3 linked regions of the Macaca fascicularis genome follow. The protein of the gene in region 3 interacts with the protein of the main gene of each other region in a pairwise test. Links are inferred from orthologs where the notes say so. Each region holds a gene or a part of one and is shown on either strand. Other genes may lie near its edges.

Region 1 (4,001 bases), on a different chromosome or scaffold from region 3:
TCTTCCTACAGAAATTTAAGAAAATAAAACTTTAGCTACTTTTCAGTTACTGAGAAGATAAAATATCCAAAGGATACAAAATATTTTACCTGCACTTTCTACACTTGTAGAGAACCTCATCTTTCAATCCTTGTGAAACCGTGGTTGGGTCAACAGCAAAGAGTTCTTGAGGTAAATTCTGCAATTCTATATGATATAACTAAAATGTATTTATTTGTCAAAATCAACTGCATTTTCAGATAAATTCAGTTAATGTCAAATTGAGGCAAGAAGTGCTAACCTCAGAAATTAAAATAAAAAAAAAAAAATCAAATTCCAGTGTTGAGAAATCAGGCTAAGGTAGGAGAGGACAGTGATTTAAGTACTTAGGTTCTGGGCACAGGCTGACCGAGTTCAAATCCCAACCCTACCATTTATAAACCATGTGATTTTGAATAAGTTATTTCTGGCTAAATCAGTTTCAAAAAGAAACAATAGTTTCTCGGGGATTGCTGGAAGTGAGGTAATGCATGCAATGCCAAAAGTAAATGACATTTAGAAAGCCCATTACACACTAGTGATTATTACTTACCTGGATACTTCTCTGTAACCTTTTGTAAACGATATTGCTTATAAATTGCACTAGAGGTATCCACTTCATATCCCATTGCCTGGTATAATTTCAGTTGCCACTCAAACCCCTCATTCATCCTGTAATGATAAAGAAATACAAAGTTTCATTTTCTTAAAATAACATCACAAAAGCAGAATTATTACTATAAAAAAAAGAACCCACTTGGCCTCTGGTTTGAGAATCTGGAGCTTTTCATAGGCTTTTTCAAAGGGAAGTAGGTCAGTCTTCATGAGAAAAGCAGTTATTATGGCCACACTTCGACTGACTCCTGCGTGACTGAAAAAGAGACCTTTAAAATAAAACAGCAAATAGCAACAATTAAAAACAAACACACAAAACCCAGCCCCCTATTAATAGTAAAGTTTAGGCCCACTTCATTTCTACTTCTCAGATAAGCCCATTGCCTCTGAAATATTATCAGGTACAAAAGAATTATTCCTTTTTCCTTTTGAATTCTGAACCATGTGACTGTATTACCTATTCAAAAATAATAACAGTAATTTTTAAAATTTTTATAATGGCTCAGAACAAATCCAAACTCCTGGCTAGACACAGTGGCTTACTTACCCCTGAAATCCCAGCACTTTGGGAGGCCGAGGTACGGGATTGCTTGAGCCCAGGAGTTGGAGACCAGCCTGGGCAACAAAGTGAGACCCCACCTCTACAAAAAATTAGCCGGATGTGGTGGCGCGTGCCTGTAGTCCCAGCTACTCTGGAGGCTGAGGCGGGAGGATCACTTGAGCCTGGGAGGTTGAGACTGCAGTGAGCCGTAATTACGCTACTACACTGCAGCCTGGGTGACAGAGCAAGACTCAAAATAAAAATAAATAAAACAAAACAAAAACAAATCCAATCTCCTTTCATCTTAGCATTCAGGGACCTCAAAATCTGGTCCCAGACTTCTTTCGATTCTATCACTATCTTCTGTCTTTTATGTGCTCAATAAATTTAAACTATTGTTATTATACTCCAATCCAACCAAGAACTGCTTAGGGATTCCCATTTTCTTTTCTTTTCTTTTTTTTTTTTTTTTTTTTTGAGATGGAGTCTTGCTCTGTTGCCCAGGCTGGAGTGCTGTGGCACAACCTCGGCTCCCTGCAACCTCTGCCTCCCAGGTTCAAAGTGATTCTCCTGCCTCAGCCTCCCGAGTAGCTGAGACTACAGACGAGCGCCACCACGCCCGGCTAATTTTTGTATTTTTGTTAGAGACGTGGTTTCACCATATTGGCCAGGCTGGTCTGGAACTCCTGACCTCGTGATCCGCCTGCCTCCCAAAGTGCTGGGACTACAGGCGTGAGCCACCGCGCCCTGCCGGGATTCCCATTTTCTTTTTGTCTTTGCTGCAACTATCTCCTCCCTAGGTAAAGCCCAGGGATCCTTTAGATCCAAACCAATTCTCCTCTTCATCAACCACCCCCTACCCATCCCAAACAAAAACATTGAACCCTAAATCTTTGTAAATCCTGTTTACAAGACACCAAGCAACCTAATCTGCATTACAATCATCGGTGGGTGTCTAGCTTCTCCAACAGAGCTGTAAACTCCTTGGGGCGTAGGTAATTTGTCATTTATCGGATGACACCTCCCCCGCCCTCTGTTGCAGCAGGAAGAACCAACTAAAGCATGAATGAATGAAAGCCTGCACACACCAGGGGCCCGCCTCCAGCCTCCTCCTCTCTTGGATACACGCCTCCTGCGGGAGGTAGCTGGAGGAGGTTCACGCGGCATGACCGCGCTCTCGTCCTCCCGAGGGCCTCGGAAGGAAAGGGGTGCTTGGCGGGGCACGTCGCCCACTGACCCGGCCACTCACCAGTGCACCAACACCGTACGGCCCTCAGCGCGGGCCTGACCGATGAAGGCCACGCACCGGTCCAGATGGCTGAGCAGATCGGTCTCGGGTTTGTCCAGCGCTGGCACGAAGAGGCGCCACAGATCCTCGACCCCAGGCCCCGCCTTGAAGCTGGGCTCCTCCGAGTCCACCGTTAGCACGGCCGTGATGCCCGCTTCCCTCAAGTGGTCTGGCTCCGCGACGGCCGCGACCCCACTGAGATACAGTCCTCGCTGCACTTCCAGCATCTGCCCGGCGCAGGTGGCTCTGCTGGCACCGGGGTTGCAGGGCTCGCAGCCATGACTCGGGCCCGGAGCCTCCAACATGGCCGCGCCCGGACACCAGGCGGCTCCTGCCCTACCATCGAGTAGGCTCCGGCTAGAACATCCTTCCCCTGGGACTTGCCAGCCTCAGCGGCTCAGCTGCTCCCTTGGAGGACCACGTTGGCCGCAGGAAAATGGACTTATCGCTAAGGGGCGGAGCTTCGGCCCCATTCAGCGCGGCGTTTCGTGCCCTGTTCCCTCTGACCCCCACCCCAAAGTTGATGGTAAAGGATAAGCTTCCCCAAATACAGGGTTTCTCTGGCTTTTAATATTGAAATTTTCAGGAGAGAGACATCAGGAGCAGCTGAACTCAAATGTGAAATAAAGGTCGCGCCGGCTGAATCAGAAGCGTCATTTTATGCATTTGAAGTACAATTATTTTCAGTATTATAAAGCCATCTGTACTTTGCATCTTATGATTATTTTTCCTTTTTCTGCCCAATTTCATTATTGGTGTGTGAATCCTTGTTGATGTTTACTGTCTATTTATTTTGAAGATGTTAATCCTATATTTTTGTAAGTCAATGTCCTCCAGCCAGGACTACCCGAAACCAACTTTAATTAAGCAAGTTGGTTTTATTACTCAGTCATGAGCTATGGAGAGTTTCAGGGCATCTCAGCACGAGGATGTTAGGAAGATCCTATACAGATTTTGGGCTTTTATCTGGGGATTTTTGGAAAGGGTTTAAGGAAGCCGGCTTTGCTCCAGATTGAATGCTGCAGGAAGATACTCAGTACTATGAGTATCTTTTATTTATCTCTTGTATAGGGAGGACTATTGGGGGAAATTCAGCCCCCAATATTTCACGTAGGTTCTTTTCTATTTTCCCTAAGTGTCAGCTGGTCTGAGAAATAAAGGGAAAGAGTACAAAAGAGAGAAATTTTAAAGCTCGGTGTCTAGGGGAGACATCACATGTCAGGAGGTTCCATCATGCCCCCTGAGCCACAAAACCAGCAAGTTTTTATTAGCAATTTTCAAAAGAGAGGGAGTGCACAAATCGAGTGTGGGTCACAGAGATCACATGCTTCAAGGGCGACAAAAGATCACAAGGCAGGAGGTCAGGGCGAGATCACAAAGTCAGAGTGAAACTAGAATCACTAATGAACTTCCATGTCCAGCTGTGCACACATTGTCATGGATAAACAAGGTTCAAGAGCAGAGAACTGGTCTGACTAGAATTTGCCAGGCTGGAATTTCCTAATCCTAGCAAGCCTGGGGGCACTGCAGAAGACTAGG
Region 2 (4,293 bases), on a different chromosome or scaffold from region 3:
AATCATGTCCATCCAGCTTTGGCCAGTTTACTATTCTAGGACTTGATTCCTTCATTCAGTCACAATTTACTGAGCACCAACTTTGCGCCAGGCTCTTGCTGAAGATACAGTGGTGACAATATAGAGCCCTGCCCTCAGAGCTGACAGTCAGTAGCAAGTATTTACTAAGTACTTTCTATGTGCGAGGCCCTGATAAAAGTACTGTCCTGGCTGGGCGCGGTGGCTCACGCCTGTAATTCCACCACTTTGGGAGGCTGAGGTGGGCGGATCACCTAAGATCAGGAGTTCACGATCAGCCTGGCTAACATGGTGAAACCGAGTCTCTACTAAAAATACAAAAATTAGCTAGGCATGATGGTGGGTGCCTATAATCCCAGCTACTCGGGAGGCTGAAACAGGAGAATGACTTGAACCCGGGAGGCGGAGGTTGCAGTGAGCCAAGAGAGCGCCATTGTACTCCAGCCTGGGCGACAGAGCAAGACTGTGTCTCAAAAAAAAAAAAAAAAGTACTGTCCCTGTATTAGTTAACATTCAATTCTCAAAGCCTTAGACTATTTCCATTTTATTGACTAGGAAAACTGAGGCACAGAGAGGTTAAGTTACTCGCCCAAGGCCTGCACAGCAAGTGAGTGCCAGAATCAGATTTGAACCCCAAGCCCAATTCTTAGATATCACATTCTCTTACCAATAACATAATGTATATTATATAACATAATGATGTGATATATATTATATAAAATAACTTTAGGGGCCGGGGGCGGTGGCTCACACCTATAATCCCAGCACTTTGGGAGGCCGAGGCGGGAGGATCACTTGAGGTCAGGAATTCGAGACGAACCTGGGCCGACATGGCGAAACCCCATCTCTACTAAAAATATAAAAAGTAGCCGGGCGTGGTGGTGGACAACTGTAGTCCCAGCTACTCAGCTGGCTGAGATGGGAGAATCGCTTGAACTTGGGAGGCGGAGGTTGCAGTGAGCCAAGATCGCATCACTGCGCTCCAGCCTGGGTGACAGAGCGAGACTCCCTCTCAATAAATAAAAAAAATTTAGGCCCTGAAAAGTTTTGTGAACAAAATCAAGAGGAGTATGTAATGTTTTGGTGGAAGGGTGCCATTTAGAAGGGGGCAATCAGGGAAGGCCTGCTGGAGGAGGTGGTCTTTGAGAAGAGACCTAAAGACAATGAGATCTGTGGGAAGAGAGATCGAAGCAGGCGATGCAAACAAGGAAAAGGCTCCGCGGCAGGCACTGCAAGAAAGCCACCGGTCTGGGATCTAACGTTTCCAAGGTTTTAGCTTCGCCAAGGCCCCTGCGCTGCAATCACCCTGATTCGAGGTGCCCTGGAGGTTACCCGCTCCGCGTGCGAAGTTCTGCCATTCCCGCGGGGCCGGAGCCACGAGGCTGAACTTCCCGCGGGCGGGGGGCGTGGCCGGCTCACCTGCGGGGGCATGGCTCCCAGCCGCCCCGCCCCTCGGAGGAGCCGCCCGCGGTCCCAGACGCCCGGCGCAGCGGGATCGGCGGGGCGTGCCTGGCCTGTGGGACTCGACCGAGCGCAGTGGGGCGAAGCGGGGCCTGGAGCCGCCCGCGGTCAGGTGGGCGCCGGGAGTGGGGCGCGGGACTCTCGGAGAGCCGCGATGATGGGGGGCGGGAGCGAAGGGTGAGGATGGGGCCTGGAGCAACCCTGGGCCCGCTTGTCCTGCGACGGGGAAGGGCCTTGGGGCTCCCAGATGCCCCCTGCCCCGTCCTGGGGCTCTCCGGGGTCTGGAGGCCTGGCTGGGGCCGCGCGCCCCCCACCCCAGCGCAGGTAAACAGCGAGGACGGGGCGGGGCCTAGGGGGAGGGAGGAGGGGGCCCTTGTGACGGCGGGTGAGCCTGGTGCGCGGGGCTGGGCCGGCCAGGGTAAGGTGGTGCGGTTTGCGGGGCTGGGCCACGATGGGAGCCTCCTGCCTGCCTGTGTGTGTGTCAGGCTTTGTGTGTGTGCAAGAGAGTGTGTCAGGCTGTGGGTATGAGGGTGAAAGCGACTGTGTGTACGATGTGACACCTTCAGCAATGTGAAAATGTGGGCGACCTCTGACGGGAATGGTGTGTGTGTGTAGAATCGGATTGTCAATAGCACTTTATGTCTATGACCAAGAGCAAGTGCGACTGTAGTCAACTTTCTGCTTGGCCTGATGTGCATGTGTGTGGCTGTGTGTGTGGCTGTGTGTATGGCAGGGAGTGGAACTGGTTGTAGGATTAGGTGTGAATGTTGACCAAGGGGTTGTGCAGCTGTGGTTGTCTTTCTGCCTGTTGGTGTGTGTGGTGGACAGTGTGTTGCACTGGATCAGTGATAGGTGACTATGATTGACTTTTGATTGTCACTGATGGTGTATGGGGTGGGCGGAACTGTGTCCAGAAGCGAGACCGTTTCATGGGACGTTGTGTGTGGAACCTTGGGGTTGGATGAGTGAGGTGTGGAGGTGTGTAAAGCTGTGTGTGTGTGTGTAGAGAGGAACTGGAGGGTGTGTGACCTGCATTGATGCCGTGGCTGGCAGTGGTGTGCAATGGAGAGTTTATTGTGGAGCTGTGTAGTGTGGGAGATGGGAGTGGAGACGCGGACATTTAGGTGGGGTGCTGCTCTGAGCAGATGACCGGATGGAAAAGGGGGTCAGCCCCAGGGATCGGTGTGTGGGACTGTGCCTATGATTATCAGCTGTGCGGTTTTGTACCCAGGGCTCTGTGTGAGGGTGGGAGCTGCTATGTGTCTGGGACACAGCCCGTGTGCTGGATGGCAGTGGTTAAGCCGTGTTTGTTGCTGTGGTTGTCCATCTGGCTGTGGAGTGGTGTGTGTAAGGCTGTGTCTGAGGTTATGGAGGGAGGTTGTTACATCGGCAAAATTGTGTGAAGAATGGTTGTGGTTGTCAGGATGACTCTTGATGAGCCTGTGTGGTTGTGAGTTCAACCATTTATGATGTTTGTGAGTGAGGTGTGAGACTAGGTATGGTGTGACATACACATGCACATAGAGATTGGCCGGGTGCAGTGGCTCATACCTGTAATCTCAACACTTTGGAAGGCTGAAGTGAGGGGATTGCTTGAACCCAGGAGTCCTAGACTAGCCTGGGAAATATGGTGATACCCCATCTCTACAAAAAAACAAAAATGAGCTAGGCATAGTTTAGTTTTTTAAAAAATGATCAAGTCTGTGGTGCACAGAATGTACAGGACCCTTTATGTGATCGTGCGTGTGCAACCTGTGCAGAAACCGCTGGGCTCCTTATGGTGGATGCAGTGGCTCGAGTGAAGAGTGTGAGAATGTGGCATCCCTCTACGCATATTCACAGCTCTCTGTTCCTACTGAATGCAAGTATTCATGAGTGCATGGCGTGTAGGTGTGGGAGTCCCTGCTGGCCAGGCGTGGAGGGGGAGGAAGAGGAAGTGGGGAAACTGGTGAGGGATCAACAGTGAATCCTGGGAATGTGTGCATCTGAAGGTGCGTTGGGCACATTGTGGGGAGTTGGGCTGTGTGAGTTCGGGGGACAATGAGTGTCACGGTCAAGTACAAGGAGATGGTCTGAATGTGAGTGATTTGGGGAGTGGGAGAGACAGAGTTAGTTTCTGCGTGGGTTGGCTTTTTCTCTTTTTTTTTTTTTTTTTTGAGACGGAGTCTCGCTCTGTCGCCCAGACTGGAGTGTGGTGGTGTGATCTTGGCTCACTGCAACCTCTGCCTCTTGGGTTCAAGCGATTCTCGTGCCTCAGCCTCCTGAGTAGCTGGGACTACAGACGCATACCACCACGCCTGGCTACTTTTGTATTTTTAGTAGAGCCGGGGTTTCACCATGTTGGCCAGGCTGGTCTCAAACTCCTGACCTCAACTGATCCACCCACCTCAGCCTCCCAAAGTGCTGAGATCACAGGCATGAGCCACTGCGCCCAGGCTTGGCTTTTATTTCTAAGAGAATATACCTGTGTGTTAGGTGGGATTTGCAAAAGGGGAGTGTGTACAGATTGATTTTGAAAGAATAGCGTATGTGTGCGCCTAAGTCGGTGTGTTGTCTTAGGTTGTATTTCTAAAAGGAAAATGTAGGTGTTTGTATTGAGTTGTATATTTAATAGAAGTGAGTACGTGTTGTTATTTCTAAGAGGTGAATGTATATTATGTTGTCTTTCCTTTCCTTTTCCCTTTCCCTTTCCCCTTCCCTTCCCTTTCCTTTCCTTTTTTCTAGACTGGGTCTTACTCTCTCGCCCAGGCTGAGTGTAGTGGCACTATCATGGCTCACTGCACCTTCAACCTCCTGGGTTCAAGCAATCCTTCT
Region 3 (4,211 bases):
ACAAAATGAAAAGAATTTATATGATATATATAACTGTCATGAGTCTAATACTTTATATAGACATTTAATTATCTAGATCACTTATTTTCCTATCTTTTGTACCATTAATGTTTTTCTCCATTAAATTATTCTTTCCCCCATATGCAACATTTTAGGTTGTTCACAATTCGTTGTTATCAATTTGCCATGCCCTTCAATCTTCTCTTTCTCTTTTTCTCTCTTAGCCAATTTACGACACCAGATTAGCCACATATGTTGAGTGTGTGGATCGCCAAAATTATAAACCACAAATGGCATAAGTTTGAGGAATTCAAATAACTCTGGCAAACTCTAACCTCAACTGCACCCAACAAAAATGAACAAGAAAAGACTTTCCCTATCTTAAGCCTCTAAAAACATTTTCATAGAAAGCAGAGTTAAAGCCATCCTGCCACTTCTTTTTAGGCTTTTCAAGACCTAAATTCTCTAGGTCTCATCATCTTTCTCTTTCTATTTATTTATTTATTTAGAAAAGCTATTTGCCATAGGGAAATTTGGATATATAATAAATACATGAGAGAATAAGGTATGCCTAAATGGGACACTTCAGAATCAACATAAATTTTGGATCTCACCTGCAATTTTGAAAGTCCTATTAATTTAAAAACTAGTAAATACCTTAATATTCATGATAGCTTACTGTAAGATTCCCTAGAGGCAATGAAGATGGGAATCTCAAGAAAACTAAAACTACCATACATCTTGGCTTCAGAGGTGAAAATAGGGGGAGAGGATTGGCTAGTTATCAACAGAAGGGAAAGTGCTTTTTGCACAGAGAAAGAATAGACAAGGCAACAAAAGTGGCAAACTGTAAGGGCCAATACACATCCACTGCTTCAAGTTTTTCAGCCATGTTCCATTCTCAGAGATTTCTGGTAGTACTTCAAGAACACCGATCTCCAAACTCCTCCTGAAAAGGGCTAGGAATGCTTCTGCCTGAAGATCTTACCTATTCTTTCTGGGCCCCATGATCTCCCTACATGATTGATCAACCTACTATTTCAACTCGAAAAAGCCTTTTCACAAATGTCAACTTCAGTGAGGCCTCCATTTAAAAATGAACACCCTACCAAGTCCTTTCCTAATTTCTGATTACACCCTGTGAATTTACATCAACCTACCCCACACCCTCAGTTTATGCCTCTTTTGAACATTCCTGCCGGGCTTCTCCTTTAAATCTTGCCTGGAAGGGGCGGAGCTATGTCCCAGGCTCACCGGGAGGAGCGTTCCGTAGGCTCCGCCCACCTACGTCTCAGAGGGCGCCCCAACGAACCCTGGATAAGGTCTCTTCCTAGTCCGCTCCGGAAATGCGACTGCGTACGCGCTGGACACGCAGTCGTGACGTCAGCGCGCCCGCGCCGGCTGGCCGGACGCCCTAGGCTTCCGCGAGATCTTAGGTGGGGGTTCGGTTGCTTTACGCCACGGCACTGCTGCGGTTGGGTTGTCACCTGTAGGCTGTCTGGACCTGGTCACGATTCCACAATGTACCACAACAGTAGCCAGAAGCGGCACTGGACTTTCTCCAGTGAGGAGCAGCTGGCAAGACTGCGGGCCGACGCCAACCGCAAATTCAGATGCAAAGCGGTGGCCAACGGGAAGGTGAGGTTTTCCCGACGGTTGCCCAGTTGCTTGGTCACTAAATTCTGAGCAGCTGCGGGAGCTCTTCTGGCTCCCAGGACAGTCTCACTCCCTCATTTCTCTGCCTCTGCGGCGCGGAGTGCGTTTATCTATTAAAATAAGCGAGCACCTCGCGAGGTTCCGTGGGTACAAAGACGAACAACGCCATCCCCGTGGTCGAATGGCAGACAAGTAACCAGTCTTTGTAACGTGGTGAAGAAGAGAGTAGGTAGTGTGCTAAGGTAGTGCGTGGCAAGAGCCGTTCACTTGTCAAGCGGTGATGTTGGGGAAGGTTTTTCCCAGTAGCCAATGCGGAGAAAATGGGGAAAGGACGTTCCAGGCAGTCAGAACTACCGTGCAGAGTGGGAGGGAGGTCAGAAGTTACAGGGCTGGTGCGTGGACGTGTTTGTGGTCGTATGTGGCCGAATGTGAGTACCTGTACAGGAATGGCTGGGGAGGGTAGGAAGGGAACTTGTTTGTAAGTGGAAGTGAGGCGTTTGAAATTTCCATTGAAAGGATGAGGAACCTTTGAAATATTTAAAATGGGAAGCTAACCTTATCAGATTTCCGTTCTGGAAACAGCGCTCTAGCAACCTCGTGGTGAATGGGTTGGATGAGGCGGGAGACCGGCGACGGAATACAAACCAAGTGACTAAAGATAAGGTTTGGACTGTGGCCCGCTAGCCAAGTCCCTTCTGTTACAGCTCTAGGACTGGTTTAATCTTTCTTACAAGCTCCACTCCAGCAAGTGTTCAGTGCCTCCAAATTACTGACACTGAATTACTTTACTTTCTACCTTTAATTCACATCACTGATTTTAGCACCTGAATTAGTTTCCTTAAGGGCTGCCTTAAAAAAATCACCACAGACTGGGTAGCTTAAAATAACAGAAATTTATTGAAACATTTGCTGTTTTTTTACAACTTGTGTCGTAATGACTGACCGAGAAACGAATGTTGGAAGCTTTCCAATCATATTTGTAAAAAGTCTATCTACTTTTAAATTTGTAAATAATGATATCACAGCTGTGAGCATATGCACATAGCCTATCGTGATTGTTTATATAATGAAGCAAAGGTCTAGCTGACATTCCGAAAAGTTGTGAAATGATGGTACAGTTTTAGTTTATTGTTTTCCTACAGCTATTTTGTGTAATGATTAGCGAATCTATAAAGAAAACGAGGCGTGATATATTCCCCTTCGTTGGAGATATAAACTAAATTTAATCTGGATAGAGAAAAATGTTTTACAATTGTTTAATTCATTGAATTCATTGAACTTGTGTTGTAATTGTTGATCTAAAGGTTCTTCCGAATGATCCAGTCTTTCTTGAGCCTCATGAAGAAATGACACTCTGCAAATACTATGAGAAAAGGTTATTGGAATTCTGTTCGGTGTTTAAGCCAGCAATGCCAAGGTCTGTTGTGGTAAGTTACAGTAGTGATGAAATATAATGTCCTTTAGTTGACTTGTGAAATTTGACCTCTTCTAAATTCCCTGTCCACTCTAGTCTTAAAAATTCACGTTAGTTACAATTAATTAGTTTTTGGCACATTATATCTTTTTCAGTTCAGGCCTTAACTCTTGAATTGCTGTATCATATCTTCAAAAGTATTTCAAGTCTCATTTTGTGGTCAGAAAAAAATTTGAGGTCAGGTAATGTTATAAAGAAAGAAACAAAATAAATTACTTTCCTCTAAGTTCTCAACTAGTGAGCCATAGAACTGGGACTAGAACATAGACTACTTGCTTTTCCAACTCTGTGACACCCAATAAATGTTTGAAGTAATGCATTCTTTCATAATTGGTAATCATATGCCCCAGCTGAAACTGATACCATAAGATTTTTTTAAGCCTTAATTAGTAGAAGCTGGAGTTTTATCTTTGGTTAAAAAAGATTGTCTTATTGCTTCAGATGTATGGTTCTGAGGACCTGTTTGTTTTTTGCTGGGGTGGGCAACCGTGAGGAGAAACAGGTAGCTGAGATTAAAAAGCAGAAAGATAAAAAAGCTAGAGTGGGAGGGTGTTTAAAATGTCTTTACGTTATTCTCTCACAGGTTTGTTGCAAAGAACAAATATAGAAGTGTATCTTAAGTAAAAGACTGTTAAATTTTAAAGTTATACAGTGTGACTAGCTTACGACCGAGTAGAGAATAATCTTCTGGGAAATTATCTCCATTTTTATAGTTGAAAAAAATTTGAAGTATGTTGAAAATATTAAGTCCATAGAATTTATAATTTTTTTTTCATCTGAGATATCAAAGATTCAGAGAGAGTTTTAGGTATACTTGATTAGTTTATATCTTCAGATTTGGTTTATTCTTACAAAAGAACTAAAATGAGGCAGTAAATTTAAGTGATCTTATCAAATGAAGAAAAAAATCCTTTAATGAACTTCTTTATGGAATTTATTTTTAAATAACATGTTTATCATTGGTGAATAATTTTTTGTTATACATAATGACAAAACTAAACTTTTAAAATACTTAAAAGGAAATATTCTTTTTTCTATCATAAAATAGATTAGTGGTTATTTCATTGGTTCCAGCCAAATG

Evidence for each region.
Region 1: the proteins of CCNH (region 3) and DUSP12 interact in binary tests that used the Homo sapiens proteins (3 or more experiments, as listed by UniProt). The two-hybrid records come from large-scale screens. The link is inferred for Macaca fascicularis from reciprocal best matches to the Homo sapiens genes CCNH and DUSP12.
Region 2: the proteins of CCNH (region 3) and KLC3 interact in binary tests that used the Homo sapiens proteins (3 or more experiments, as listed by UniProt). The two-hybrid records come from large-scale screens. The link is inferred for Macaca fascicularis from reciprocal best matches to the Homo sapiens genes CCNH and KLC3.

The regions. Positions count from the first base shown.
Region 1 is NC_088375.1:99,344,690-99,348,690, forward strand, and holds the start of DUSP12 (dual specificity protein phosphatase 12), read right to left. Parts: upstream 2,801-4,001; 5' UTR 2,768-2,800; coding exon 2,424-2,767; intron 2,371-2,423; exon of another isoform or gene 2,342-2,370; coding exon of another isoform or gene 2,263-2,341; intron 890-2,262; coding exon 776-889; intron 691-775; coding exon 572-690; intron 187-571; coding exon 90-186; intron 1-89. UniProt on the Homo sapiens protein: Dual specificity phosphatase; can dephosphorylate both phosphotyrosine and phosphoserine or phosphothreonine residues. Can dephosphorylate glucokinase (in vitro).
Region 2 is NC_088393.1:53,392,238-53,396,530, forward strand, and holds the start of KLC3 (kinesin light chain 3), read left to right. Parts: upstream 1-1,493; 5' UTR 1,494-1,803; intron 1,804-4,293. UniProt on the Homo sapiens protein: Kinesin is a microtubule-associated force-producing protein that may play a role in organelle transport. Plays a role during spermiogenesis in the development of the sperm tail midpiece and in the normal function of spermatozoa.
Region 3 is NC_088380.1:91,395,782-91,399,992, reverse strand, and holds the start of CCNH (cyclin-H), read left to right. Parts: upstream 1-1,411; 5' UTR 1,412-1,521; coding exon 1,522-1,638; intron 1,639-2,960; coding exon 2,961-3,083; intron 3,084-4,211. UniProt on the Homo sapiens protein: Regulates CDK7, the catalytic subunit of the CDK-activating kinase (CAK) enzymatic complex. CAK activates the cyclin-associated kinases CDK1, CDK2, CDK4 and CDK6 by threonine phosphorylation.